Linked DNA regions of Bombyx mori. The main gene of each other region encodes a partner of the protein of the gene in region 2 in a complex. Links are inferred from orthologs where the notes say so. Each region holds a gene or a part of one and is shown on either strand. Other genes may lie near its edges.

Region 1 (7,850 bases), on a different chromosome or scaffold from region 2:
TACGCCAAGACCAATTTTGTGTTGTCTAGACCATAGATTATACACTTAATGTCTAGACAATAGTGGGGCCATCCTCTTACACACACGACACGCCCAACTTCGTCGCGCTTAAACTAACAATTGATTCAGTAACTGAATTTAGAACAGTGTAATCGAAAGCTTCTAACTTGCTTATAAATTTGCTTCTGAATTCAGTCGATTTTTGGGGGTCGATTGCTTCCCGCTTCCGTAGGCTTAACCCGCGATTCCCTATAAATGACCCCTGGGTGGTGCTAAACGGGAGTCGAAAACATAATCGGTGGTAGGACTAGTCCGACTGGCTGGCGACCGCCCTCCATAGTTGAGTGAGTTCGCCGCCAAATAGCCTAGCTGTGTTCCGGCGTGTGGGTTGGAGAGCCAGTTTTATTCCTTTTCTTTCCTCTTCCTTGTTGGGGGTGAATCTTGATGATACCTGGAACATGCGGAGCAGACGTGCGTGCGAGCTTGCGGGACGTGATTGTTTGACGGGGATCTGTGGAAGTGCACAAACGTGGGAAAATGCAACAAAGCTGCTGGACCTAACTTCTCGGGATCCTCCAAAAAGTCCACTGAAAAAATCTCTGTAAATGACCACCATTTTACTGAGATTATATTTCACCCCAAATAATCTCATCTCATTTCATATCATCTCATCCCATTTCATTTAATTTCATCCCAGTTGATTAATGACTCAAATTAATTATCTTCTGTTTATTTCATTTTACTCCACACTACCAATCATTTTTCATAAAAATAAGAATATAAATTGAAATAAGAATTGTCCTAAAGGACTTAGTTACCAGGTCGTAAAATCCCTTAAAAAAAAACAAGATTTCGATAAGATTTACATTTTACATGCAATAAATGCAATAATTCAATTTAACTTTGGTTCGGAGATGATCAATTATGATTATTTTTCTTTTAATCGATATAATTGTTTTTTGTACCCTTTAAATTCGTCTTCTGCCGTATTTGCATAACAACAAATCTTGAAATTAACGCAAAAAAAATTAAGTCGATTTATTGAGATTTTAAGTTTACTCACTAAATTGCACTGTTCGTCTCTGGAAATTATTTTAGGAAGATATCGTCTTATTTATATGTCCTGTATATCATTCGGGACGAGATTTGACGACATTTGAAAAAAATATCTAAAGGTTAAAATGTTGCCGCCGGATTATCCACGAACTCGCCCGAAATCTAAATTGGTTTGTTTAAAAAAATGTAAAGCACAGTGAAATGCTGAATGCACCACCAATTTACCACATGAATAGTTGAATCTGCTACAGAAGAAGGAAGGTTTATATAATTAGGTACATTCAAAAAGGTAACAGCAAAACAATGTAGTAACAAGTATGGAGAGTAGGAATAGTCCTGCCTACAGGATTCACTTGGAAGTACAAAATTCAGTTAATATTGGTGATATAGTAAAATGCATTTGCCTTTCATTATTGAAAGTTAACTTTGAATAAGACTTAAATTAAATTAATTAATTAAATTCTTGGGTTCTAAATAGGAGGAGATTTGAACCACTTCGATCATAGTCAAACACTTGAACTATGTGGGTTTTTTTGGCAAAAATTAAATATGGAGCTAAAAGAGGTGAAGCTGCAATGGAGGATATGCAAAATATGCTCTGAAATCATGGACATTATATTTTGAAATAGGTTGGTGAAGGTTTATAATGCAATGGAGAACGCTTTCAATATATATAGATTGTTTTATTGATGGTTTATGCAAAAAACTTAGTGTACCTTAAATAATAAGATAATGAAGAAATATGAATTAAAAGAAAACTATAAACTAATTATTTTATTTTACTCATCATAGCCACAGAATAGACATAATAATAATTATTTCCTATCCATTAGTTTCTGTTGCACAATTATGTATTATATTTTAAAAACACGGAATAATAAAGTCACAAAATTGTTTATCAATTGACTTAGCCACTATAGTAATAAACTACTTATCTGAGGGTTTTCTAATAGAAAAATGAGATGATGTCTTTTATTGACTATTTTAAATAATAGATATTATCTTCTGAAGTAGGTTTATATATTAGATGAACTCAGTGCCTCCTGATAGAGATCTTTTCTAACAATTTCCTTTGTTTTCACCTTTCGCAACTCCTTCAGTTATGATTCTTCTTGATCTCCCTTTTCCTTCTTCCAACATTAGAATAAGTGTGTTGGGATCTTGCTCTTTTTTTTTTATTGGACCAATTGCTTCTCCAGTTTGTTGGTCTGCCCTAAGGTTTAGTATAACTCTTGCCTTGGCTCTTATTGATGTTTCATTTTCTGAACTGATTTTCATCAAAGGCGTAGTGGTAAATGGTTATCAATACTCATGAATTTCAACAAACCCATGAGCATAGCCACAAGCCGCCACATACCAAATTCAATATAATGTAACACAGGCCAAAAGACTGAATGAGTATGGTTCTACTTTATGGACATACCAAAGACCAGTTTCACAGTAAATTTTCTTCAGTATCTAGATTTTATCTTCATTCCCTATATTATTATGCTTCATAGATTTACTACATATTTTATCTATATCCATGGACAACCCTATTTTAATTGTGTACCAAACACAACCTGTGTCCTGTTTTAATACATATTGTCTTTTTATACTTTTAGATATTATAGTTTATTGGGTTCAATACAAAAAGGTCATAGTGTCTAAGTGACTTTTATTGTATGCATCCACATAAACAACTATTTACTAATCTAAGAGTAAGAGCATAATATTAAACCTCATTTTTAATAAAACAAATAGTATTTTTTTGTTTATGACACTTACTACATAACTTAGGTTTATAAATGGTCAAAAAAGTAATACATTACAATATACATTAAAATTGATTAGGTACTTGGAGGAATTATTCAAAGTATTGGTCTACTTTTTCTATATAAAGAATTAAACATCATCAATTGTGGGTAACCAGAATGCCATATTTGTACATGCTGATGCCAGCATCATGAACTTAGGATTGAACTGTACGCATTGTATAGGTGCTGGATGATCACCATTCAAGACACATACTTTGTAACCAGTATCAGCATTCCAGACATGAACACGACCATCTGTTGAACCACTGAAGATGTACTGGGAATCAGGACTAAAAGATGCTTCTATAGGTATCCCTTTGTTGTTTAAGTGTCCAGTGAAGGTTTGAAGTGGAGTTCCATGATATGCATCCACCAAACGAATTATTGACCCATTGGTACTTATTAACATAGTTTTGCCATCACGGGAAAATTTCAAACCTGTCCAATCACATTCCTTTTCTTGGTTTAATTTAAATGTGACAAAGGGGCCCTTGTCAAAAGACCTCAAATCATAAAGCTTGATGCTCTCGGAATTAACGCCAGCTGCAAATATGAGACCTTCAGGGTCATAAGCTGCAACAGGTCTTCCAGATAAATGCATTAGTCCCTGACAATTAGGCGACCGAAGATCCCACAGTCGTAATGTTTTGTCTAATGATCCAGATAAAAATGTGTCTTCAACCGGGGATAAACACATTGTCACAACTTTTTTTGTATGCCCTGGGAAATATCTAATGTACTTGTTATCGTGAAGGGATAAATACCGTATTGTGTCGTCTACTTTGGTGGAACTGTGAATTGCAGTGTTTTTGGCATGTGTAAAATGTATCAAATCGACCCCGTATTTTTTACTGTTGACCGTAATCATTTGTGTTCCTTTTTCACAATCGTATATAACGATTTGATCATCTTCGCTACATGAAATCAATGTCTCCCCATTAGGAGAAAAATCTATACTGTTAATTTTGTCTGTATTTTCACGGAATACTTTGGCAACTTTAAAGCTTCGGACAACTTGATCAACGAGTTTCATCATTTTTATGCATATAACCGATGTTTTTGTTCTTTAATTTTCACACTTAATAAATTACAAAGACAGCCTCGTACAATAATTGAAGTGTAGCTTTATAGTAATATTAGGCGGTATGCACATATGTACCTACATAATATAAGTATAATTTTATTTAGCTCTATGGTATAATCTATGACGCATAATGACACGCACCAGAGACACTTTTCTAGCCAGAAACCAAAGTCTGCAAAGAACTCGATTGATACCTCACAATAAAAATGATGAAATTACTTTTTGGCTGAAACGCCAAGAGTGAAATTGTGTAGATTATATTATTTGCAAATTTAATGCCTCTTTGGGTGAGCTACGGATTTGGTTGCAGTGGACCACGGTAAACTCTTCCTCTACCTCTCTTGGGTTCTGTTTTGAACGCGTATCGGACGTTCGGGCCAGTGTGCAAGGGACTCGCTTAGTAGGTGCCCACCCCATCTAGCAGTCCCATAACCCTCGCAACTCCTTGGCGCGGGGATTTCGTGTGGGAGTACGCCCACTAGCCCAAAAAAATAATCATAATTCATAATCAAGAATAGAGGAATCCTGATTTTCAGATACTTTTAACGGTTGGGGAAAAAAAATTTGTTCGTGTTCAATTTAATGTTCCACAGCACGTTCAAGAACAAGTGAGAACATAATTCTAAATGGAAATTTATGAATCTTTGAGTATTTTCGACCGCGCATGAAACGTTCGGTAGACATTTCAATGTATATCACAATGTTGTATAGCGATCACTTACATACGAAAACCTGTATCCTTTTTATTTGTCAGAAGATTGTTCATGAAATTCATCCGCAAAACAACACAACCCCTCTTATTCTCTTTTTCACGGGTTGTCACTAAATTCCTGACAGATTTTGTATAATTCCTATCCAAATTTAATTTTTAATCTTCCATCGAAAACATAATATGCTTCTGCAACGGACATTGACTATTTTTAATGAAAAATAATGTTTTTTACCGTTACATAATTTTAATATAATATATTTGACCTTTGCTTGTACTGAAATAACGTCATCATTAACTTTATTCAAACAGAGAATTAGTCGATTGTGGAATGCACTGCCAGCTGCAGTTGGAAGTGCTCCAAATATTAAACGCTTCAAAATCCCAATACTACTGCTAGTATCTCGTTAAAAAATTAGGCGCGGTAACTTAATTCCCGACATAAAAATCTTTGGCTAGCCCATACTGTGAGCTTCGAAGGCTACGGAATTAGGCGTCACTCTCGACAGGGAGATGGCATTCGGACCCCACATTAAGTCAGTACGCGACCGAACCGCGTTCCTACCCGGTCGTTTTTTTTTTTTTTTTATGTTTGAAAGATTGCTGGTGGCCCGGAGGCCTTTCCAGCTTCGCCAGGACAGGTGGGCGAGCAAAGACTCAGCCAGGTACTCGGTCGTCTCGACCCCATGATCTGCAAGCGAAGTGAATTGTCCCTTCATAACAAGGTGACACTCTACTACTACTAGCTTCCATACATTCTGTCATGATCTATGCAAGTCTAGTGTTCGCTCACGCGGCCCGTACACACATTAGCTCTCTATAGGTCATCCAATCCCGTTTCTGCAGGATAGCCTACGGAGCACCGTGATATGAGGAATGCAATTTTCACGCCGACCTAAATCTAGTACCTATCGATACGTAAGTATCTTAAAGATGCATCAGAACGCTATTTTGATAAAGCGGCGTGACACGAAAACCCTATTATCGTGGCCGCCGCTAGTTACTTAACAGACCGCGACGCACGGGGCAACGCAAAGCCGCCGTCGCCCGAAACACGTCTTGTTGGATTCCCCGGATTCACTTTTGTTGCTTTTCGGACCCACAAGCACCGGGCACTCTCACGAGCGAACGAACCGGCAGATACGCCGGATCTTCTCAGTGGGTCGCAATTCCATTCCGGTAGCAGATTCAGCAAAACACTGCTCTTGCTAAGGCTAATGCTAGCAAATTATCTCAAGTTGAGCTTGTGAGCTCAACTACCCATCCGGACGTAGCTGAAATAGCCTCTTAGTCTACCAGCGAATAGACAGAGAAATAAAATGCTTTATAAGAATGATGAAGGAACATTACTTGTCTGCTTTACTGCTTAGTGTTATTTGTTTGTATATGCTTTATCATTTCCATGTTGTTGATTCAATATGTGTACTAGTTTGTAAGTATATTGGTATATAAATCTTTAAATATTTTTCAATTTACTTTATGTATGTATTTTCTATAGTAATGTATTTGTTAATAGAACACCGTAACATACCTGTTCTATATTTATCTGTTCAAAATTTCTGTAAATAAATCTGTTGTCTGGAAGAAATCGTTTTTAGCGATAAAACCGCTTATTATGCAAATACATCCACTTGTTGACTGCTTTTTTTAAAAGTTAATTGTGTGCAAATTGCAATGAAATATATGATCTCTCTTTTTCACTCTGATAAGCTCAAAACGTTTTTCTAATTTCAACTTTGAAAAACAATAACTTTTTCAATTAATTAGTAAAAATAGCTTCAGATCCCTGGATGCAAGCAGCGTAGAACTGATCGCTGTGACGAGGTTTGGAAAAGGCCTATTCCTATTAGTGGACATCTGTGGGCTGAAAGATAGACGGAAACAACTACAGTAAATATTTGAAAATATTTAAATTAGTTTCTTAAATCAATCTATATTTAATAAATAAAATGAAAAATAAAAAAAATATATATATATTTATGAATGCCAACCATCTACATCTACAACTACATCTGTTTTTTTTAACGCTGGAATCCATTTACGATTTACTAGATCTGCCTAAGAAAATCTAACTTGTATCATTCTTTCAAAACAACAAATTAGCGTTTTTAAACCGCAGGGTGCTCTAGTTTAATGGATCTAATTCTGCGTGGTCTCGTTATATTAAGTGTATTATCTATGGTCTGACTTTTTGGCGGGAACGCGAGAAGTGACGTTGTGTGTTTTGTTTTATTTTGTCTATTTAGTGTTTCTTCAGGTTTAAATGTGTAATAACGGTGGTTTATTAACTGTTCAATATCTGTGTGAAAGTGCACAAATGTGGAAAAATGAAACAAAGCCGCTGGACGTAACTTCTCGAGATCCTCCAAAAAGTCAACTGAAAAAGTCTCAGTAAATGACGACCACTTTACTGAAATTATATTCCATCCCAAATCATCTCATCTCATTTAATTTCGTTTTCATTTCATTGCATTTTATGCCATGTTTCATATTAATCAACTTCATTTCATAATATCATTTTACGTATAAAAAATATATATAAAAGATTAGGCTGTATCGTATGATACCTTTGCCTTTCCAATTGCAAAAATAAAACTACTACTACCTATGGTCTCGATTAGTGTGACCATATGTGGCAAGATCCTGCCATTTTGGCAGGATTGGACTCATTTTAGCTTTTGGCAGTTTTTTGGCAGTATTGGGATAAAGAAAATAAACAAACGAAACAAACGATTAATATTAAGCACCAATTTTTTTATAACTACTTGTAAAATGTTACGTGCTCCGTGCGTGAAATTTAATTTAAGATAGGCTTTATGATCTTGTAACCATTGGCCATAAATAAATAAATAAAGGTTATTATGTGACAGCTGTCCCGATTAAAACAATAGTCTTTACCATAGATTATACACATAATATATTGAATTATGCTATCTTTACCAACTCTTTCTTCAATTTATCATTTCAAAGAAATGTAAGTACTGAAAAAATTATAAGAAAAAATTAATTATTCAAACTACATATAAGTACTAGTAAGTACTCATTATAATATGTTCTTGTTTCAGCTTAAATCAATGATTATAACACACTATTATTTACCACAAAATTTTTATAGGTATTTTTGATAATAAAGAACATTAATTGTTTAAAGTTTGCTACTTCTACATACGTTAATGTTTGCCTCGTCTTTTTCACGTACGTTTCG
Region 2 (7,614 bases):
CAGTTACAGTATTACAAAAAGTAAGTAAAAGGTAAATAAAGGAAATTTGATGACTGAAAATCATACTGAATCTTGTATGCTGTGACAATGAGACAGTGGTTGTTCAATTGGCCACATTGATGTAACTCAGTAGTTGAAATATATTCTGCTGATATTTAACTATTATTTAAAACCTTTTAGGTATACAGTAAAAAAGTTTTTTTTTTTCAGAGCATGTGATGCATGCGAGGAATGGTATCATGGTGATTGTATCAACATTTCTGAGAGAGAATCAAAGTACATCAAGAATTACTTCTGTGACCGATGTAGAGAGGAAGATCCGACTTTGAAGACAAGGTTCAGACCACAAAAAAGAGAAAACGAGGTTGATTCTGGTATAAATATTTTTTTTGTCTAGTTTTTTCTATACTGCTACATTTATTAGTATTGTATGATAGGACTGCATAATAAAATTTAAATCCTAGCATTGCATTACCTTAAAATAGATGTATGAAGTATGATTGATTTTTATCTCTCAATCAATTTGAACCGTGACTCACATATTGGTTGAATAAAACTAGAAACCGAAAGCCATTAAAAAATAAAAGTTAACATAAAACGTTTTTGTTATTGTACCGTGTTTCTTTTGTAGGTCGAGATGATCGAAAAAAGCAGCGGAAAGAAAAGGATCATTCGGAAAATAAATCTTCCAAGAGAACTATAATAAAAGATGGTTGTGGAGATTGCCCTGGTTGCTTACAAGATTACGATTGTGGCCAGTGAGTATACCTCATGCCCCATTTATCGGATTTTTACTGCAGTATCTACCAACAGCACTACAAAAAGATGCTATTGCTATCAATAGATCATAGACAGACATTCACTTTGTAATTTTTTAAATAGTAATTTTGAAGAAATGAATTAATGCAAAGTATGTATATATAGTGTATATATAGTGATTACTCATTTTTCTACATGAAAAAGTGCTTTAATCAATATAAATTTCTAACTTTTACAAATTGATATTAAAAGATATAAATATTGATCAAAAATTTGGATTTCTTTTGTTACACTTTAAGTTAACTGAATTGTACCCAAACATTGTTCATTTAAAGTAAATATTTAGATTTAATTCAAGAAAATTTACATATACAATAAACAGATACAATCTTTTGTTTCATTTCATAACAGTATTGTTTCCAAACATTTTCCCATTGTTCTTTTGTCGTACAGAAATGTATGATCACTATAATGGTTTTCATTGCAGTTGTGATGCATGTGAGGAGATGTTCAAATATGGAAGTGCTAATAAAAAGTTCAGGTGCAAATTGAGAGTTTGTGTTAAAAGTAAAAAATCTTCTAAACCACCCAGGTAAGCATTGCTAGATTTTAAAAATGTAATATTATTGATTCCGCATATAACTGTTAAAAGGGCTCTGCTTTGCTGTAACTAAGCTACAAACATAATATAACAACCTTATGTCATATTCTGTTGAAACAATACTCTTGCCATCTGACATACTTCAATGGAACTACTCAGAGCTTCTACTGATGTATGAGCAATAAGTAGAAATAAAAGTATTGGAGTTAACTGACGGATTTTGAAATTGTAAATGAAATTGACAACAGCAGTAGCAGAATAAAGAAGAAGCATCATGAACGTGAACCGTATGAGCCAGAAGAATCGTTGGCGCATCTACAGACGGCGCATGCGCGTCAGTGCTACGGACCGCAGTGCACGTTGCCCGCTCGGTACTCCTCGAAGTACTGCTCCTCACAGTGCGGGATAAGGCTCGCCACTTCCCGGATATACCAAGTTTGTTTTTTTTATTTTCATTTGTATTTCGCAGACATGTGAGAATTTTTTCCTTTTTTTTTCAAAACTTTCTATTCCTGGCTGGTTTGATTACTGCCTAATAGCTAAAGACGGTCGCTAGTATTGGAACAGCACCTAAATGACAAATCTATATTTCATAGTTATATGAGGAATGCCTGGTGTCAATTGATTCAATATAATGCTAATTCAGGTGCTCCCACAACGAATACAAGAATGGTCGTTGTCGAGCTGCGTTGCCGAACAGAAGAACCGCAAGGCACTAGAAGTGGTACGCAGCGGGATCGCTAAAGCGCAGGCCGCGCTGCGGAGTCTCGACAAACAGCACACAGATCTGGACGCACTGCTCGCCAAAGCTAAAAACGCTACAATTCTTCATACGGATGATAAGGTACAAAATTGTTATTTAAAATAGAAATTTAGTGGCTTTTCAATGGATTTTAGAAGAAAAAAAAGTGTTATTTGAGGACGTCAGCACAAAAGTGGCCTAAGCTTACCATAGTTAGTATGGAGATAATGAGGTTCGAATTTACCTTTACAATACTTCGTAGCCAAAAAAAAACGTGATAAAATAATGTTTACAAAGTCATCTGTTATCTATGGATTGAAACTAACTTTTGCATCAAAATTTATTATGTTTTAAATAAATCACAATACATAAGCATGAATATGAATTGTGGGTTAAGCCACTTTTGCGTTGACAGCCTCATTTTGAAGGTGTACTTTAAAACATAAATACTTAAATTGTCTTCGTCCTGATACTTTATTTTGTATATACATTTATATGTTTTTTTTTTTAAATCTTCCATCAATACTTTTCAAACGGATTTGTTCACTTATACTAATATGTTCAATATATTGTCATTTAATAATAACTAATACAATATTGGCTAATAATATTAACTTTGTGTGACCGAAATAACATTGAAAAGTATGAATATTTCTTTACCTGCAAGGGACTCATGTGTTCTGTTTTAATCACTTTTTAATATAATCTACAGTGACGTAATATCTCAAATTCAGTAGCAGTAAAAAAGTTGCAATTTGTAAAGTTTGCTATGCCACAATATCGTGAAGTCTGAAATTCTTTTGCTATTTATAACACCTAAAAAAAAAACCATTGGCCTTTTAAATCTTTTAACTATCCTTTCAATTATGATAATGTATTGAATATGAAAAACAATAAATTGAAATTTATGTTCATTGTAACTTTTTGGTAATTAAAATTAATTTTTGTTATCAAGAATTTTATTAATAAAATAATTTTCGCAACAGGACGCTGACGACGAAACCTCAATGTACTGCATAACGTGCGGCCACGAAATCCACTCGAGGACAGCCGTCAAACATATGGAGAAATGTTTTATAAAATACGAAGCGCAAGCGTCTTTCGGCAGTCGCCATAGGACGCGCATAGACGGACAAAGCATGTTCTGCGATTATTACAATCCTATCAATGCAACATATTGTAAGAGATTGAGGGTAAGTGTCGATGTTTAATGACCCAAGACTAAAAAAAGTACGCGTACCACGCTTTTTTACAATGTAATATTTTTTTCATACACTACCTATTTTTAATTCAAATTTATTAAAAAAATTTTCTATTTTTTAGTTGGATTTTCTATAAAAAACGTTTTTTTTTTGTTTTTTAAACAATTTTTTTTTCATTTTTTATTGTATTTCAATTTTTCCAGTTTTTTTTAAATATTGCATTGTCATCGGTCCTTAATAAATATGCCAAATTTCGAATTAATCTGACGTTTTGAAGGGCGTCAAAAGCACACATACGCCTGAAGCTAATAAAAGCGTATTAAAAATAAACAAATTCGTCAGGTGATGTGTCCAGAACATTTTAAAGATTCCAAAGTGAGCGACAGCGATGTCTGCGGGTGTCCGCTGGTCCGCAACGTGTTCGATCCGTCGGGCGAGTTCTGCCGGGCGCCCAAGAAGTCGTGCTTGCGTCACTACCAGTGGGAGAAGCTGCGTCGAGCCGAGATAGACATGGAGAGGGTCCGGCAATGGTTGAAACTCGATGAACTTGTGGAACAGGAGCGTAGTATTAGATTGGCTATGGCTTCAAGGTATGGAAACAATGTTACGGAAACACTTTTGTCTATTTTTTATTTTTATTTTTTTAATTAAGGTCAAAATGTTTTCTTTGTCGTCCATTTTCCTCAGCTATTTTTTTTAATACACTCACCAGATGTGAACCTAATGTAGTTTCTTTATGTAAAACAGTTCCTACGATTATGCGCAATACAGTAAAGTTTCAGAGAAGGTTTTTGGAACATACCATCCGGCTCAAGAATAAACATCCCTTCAATGCGCAAAAATTCAAGCGTTAAAAACCTCTACAGTATTGCTTATAGTAGTGGGCAGCCATTGTATTGTAAAATTGAGATTTCGAATTCATGTCTGAAGGTTGGTGGCGGTATTTATGTTGTTAATGTCTATGGCCCATTTACCTTTTGGTGGGCCGTGAGCTGGTACATTTATCTAAGCTATAAAAAAATTGGCTCCTTTACCTATTATAGTGAAAATCAAGTACATTTAACATGTCTTGCGTTTAACTTGTCTTGTGTGTGTTAATCTTAAATTCTAAATGTTACTTTACTCAAGCTGTTGACTGAGCATTCACGTCATGAGGCTTTTGGCCGTGAGGTAATTCGCCGAGCTGGACTTGTGTTCTGTATCAGATTTAAAAAAAAAGTACTGTTTCATTTTGTAGAGCGGGCGTACTCGGTCTAATGCTACATTCTACTTACAACCACGAAGTCATGGAGCGAATCACAAATAAGGTTAACGAAAACGGGCTACACAAAGAAGGATCCTGACAGTCTCCGGGCGAGGGACGCAGTTGATAGAAATTGTAAATTAAGATGTAAATAAAATCATTGCTTAAATGTTTTTGGTTTTTAATAATTATTATGGTGACCCTCATAGGTACCACCGTTCTGCCTGCCTGCCTATACCATGAAGCAGCCCTCCAGTTCGCATTCAATGGTCGGGCGTCATTCAATAAAATTGAACCTTTGCCTCAGGTTCATGAACAGCAACCACTTATGTCCAGTTGGGACGTGGACTCATTCATCTGGGGCAAAAAAAAAATTATAAGTGCAAGATATTTAGCCCCAAAAGATGGCCATTAGAATATCTTCAAACTATTTTTCCCTTACGTAATCGTTGATAGCCTAAGGGGCTATTCCAACTAGAGTAATACAGGTCTGTATTTGTCTGTAGTTTTTGCAATATTGTGGACAGCATAAAGCGGTTTTGGTAGGGTACAACTAGTTTTTACTATCTACTGTAGCTATTAATTTAGCTAGTATTGCTACTCTTCTCTTCTCAAAGAGAAAGAAACTGATCGAACAGTTCCAATATCACCTAAAACACACTAGTCAGTGAACTAGTTTATTATTTGGTCTTTAATTTGTGTACAATTGTTATATATTCAGTGGACCACAAACCCAAATAATTGCAAACATCAAACTTGGTATACCATGGTGGTACCGTATACTGCACAGATTAAACTTTAAAGTGCGTTGCCTGATCCGGTTATAATCTATGATTGTTGCTACAAAAAAGTCATTGGAGCTTCTTAGCGTTTGTTTATAATCTCATCTTTTATAAATATTCAAACTTAGCGATTCTTGTCTAAAAGGACAAACAAAACCGTCAAAATTACGTACTATAACAAATATAATGGTTCCGTTTCATCCTCTGCCATGGGCAAGGTAAGTCTTATAGGAGTTCATACGGAGCGTATAAATAAAAAATAAATAGGTAACAACATTAATTTATTTACATTTACATACTGGACTATCTTGACATTCAAATAAACTCGGCAAACTGGAATCACCAGGTTAAATATAGCGACTATCGTGCTCTCGGCTAAGTACTACCAGTCTATCTTATCTCCTCGAACTGTGTGATATAAAATGAGTGATCCTATTGTTGAAAACAAGGTAAAAAAAAAACATTTAATTAACACATAACATTTCACGTATTTACTGTACTTTCATGTTAGAAAAGATTTGTTAAATACAACCTGTTGTTATGTGTTAAATAGCCCTGAAATTAATTTAATATATTGAAATAAAAGGTGTTTCAAAATGTTTTTCACAAGTATTTACAATAAACATAACTATTATATTCTATAGACTATATATTCTTATCTGATGTTTTAATAGGACTTTCCAAACTATTACCAACCATTTAAATATATAACAAAAGTTCCAATTTGTTTTATTACTTTTTAAGCAGCCAGTATTATACTCATACTGGCGCAGCTCATGCTCCTGGCGAGTTCGCATAGCACTCAATCTTAAAGAAATACCATACGACATAAAGGCTGTCAGCCTGATTAAGGGAGGCGGAGAACAACACTGCAATGAGTATAGAGAAGTCAACCCTATGGAGCAAGTACCATCTTTATGCATTGGTCTGTAGTATAAATATTTTACTAAATTAATAAGTTTAATATTATTTTACAATAAATAGATTATGTTTGAATTCAATTAGATCCGTATAAGAGTGTCAGAAACTTTATACTGTGAACTAAAATTTATTATAAAATCATTTTTAATTTTAAACCAAGTATAAATAGGAAAATTCCAAAATCTGTCTAAAATTTTGGTAGAATCTTGATTATTATGCATATTAACAAACAAGTTTCTAAAATGTTGTCAAGAATGATATTACGTAAAGGATAAAAATAAAAATTTATGACTTCCTCTTATTCACTAACATTCATTTGATTGTGATAAATATTATTTTTTTGCTTAGTATCATTAAGACACTAAGGTGCAAGTGTAGTCATCAAAAATTGATGTATTTCATACATTATATTGATAGTCACAGCTGAACCTCAACAAATTTAAGTAATTTGAAGTCGTCATGGCCTAAAGGATGAGACGTCCAGTGCATTCACTTTGAGCGATGCACCGGTGTTCGAATCCCAGGCGGGTATAAATTTTTCTAATGAATTACGTGCTCAGCAAATGTTCACGATTGATTTGCACGGTGAAGGAATAACATTGTGTAATAAAAATGAAACCCGCAAAATTATAATTTGCGTAATGACTGGTAGTAGGACCTCTTGTTAGTCCGCACGGGTAGGTACCACTACCCTGCCTATTTCTGCCGTGAAGCAATTATGCGTTTCGGTTCGAAGGGTGGGGCAGCAGTTGTAACTATACTTGAGACCTTAGAACTTATATCTTAATGTGGGTGGTGCATTTACATTGTAGATGTGCTTCAGTAACCACTTAACACCAGGTGGGCTGAGAGCTCTTCTACCCAACTACGCAATAAAAATAATAAAAAATATTAATTTTAAAATATTAAACATTTTAAGTGAACCAAAACAATCAATACTTATTATAAAATTTTAGTGTCATTTTGCTTTGTGTTATGATTGACAGATGGGCACACTCTAATTGAATCATTAAACATCATGCATTATTTAGAGGAGACAAGACCACAGAGACCTCTTATGCCGCAAGATTGCTTTAAGAGGGCAAAAGTTCGTGAAATTTGTGAAGTAAGTACATATTTAAACTGGTGGTAGGACCTCTTGTGAGTCCGCGCGGGTAGGTACCAACCACCCTGCCTATTTCTGCCATGAAGCAGTAATGCGTTTCGTTTTGAAGGGTGGGGTAGCCGGTGTAACTATACTTGAGACCTTAGAATTTATATCTCAAGGTGGGTGGCGCATTTACGTTGTAGATGTCTATGGGCTCCAGAAACCACTAAACACCAGGTGAGCTTGTCCACCCATCTAAGCAATAAAAAAAAATTTT

What was found. Proteins that work in one complex are often made in the same cells at the same time.
Region 1: CXXC-type zinc finger protein 1 (region 2) and WD40 protein share a complex: the UniProt entries of both Drosophila melanogaster proteins name them as parts of the SET1 complex. The link is inferred for Bombyx mori from reciprocal best matches to the Drosophila melanogaster genes Cfp1 and Wdr82.

Annotation. Positions count from the first base shown.
Region 1 is NC_085110.1:8,526,432-8,534,281, forward strand, and holds WD40 protein, read right to left. Parts: upstream 3,953-7,850; 5' UTR 3,889-3,952; coding exon 2,941-3,888; 3' UTR 1,874-2,940; downstream 1-1,873. Other genes in the region: WD repeat-containing protein 55 homolog, read left to right, coding at 7,819-7,840. UniProt on the Drosophila melanogaster protein: Component of the SET1 complex that specifically di- and trimethylates 'Lys-4' of histone H3.
Region 2 is NC_085131.1:9,124,323-9,131,936, forward strand, and holds the end of CXXC-type zinc finger protein 1, read left to right. Parts: intron 1-210; coding exon 211-374; intron 375-631; coding exon 632-758; intron 759-1,246; coding exon 1,247-1,351; intron 1,352-1,608; coding exon 1,609-1,795; intron 1,796-2,006; coding exon 2,007-2,204; intron 2,205-3,088; coding exon 3,089-3,295; intron 3,296-3,646; coding exon 3,647-3,894; intron 3,895-4,541; coding exon 4,542-4,647; 3' UTR 4,648-4,716; downstream 4,717-7,614. Other genes in the region: GSTz1 (glutathione S-transferase zeta 1), read left to right, coding at 5,539-5,547, 6,074-6,254, 7,237-7,355. UniProt on the Drosophila melanogaster protein: Component of the SET1 complex that specifically di- and trimethylates 'Lys-4' of histone H3. Essential for Set1 association with chromatin and trimethylation of histone H3 at 'Lys-4' at transcription puffs.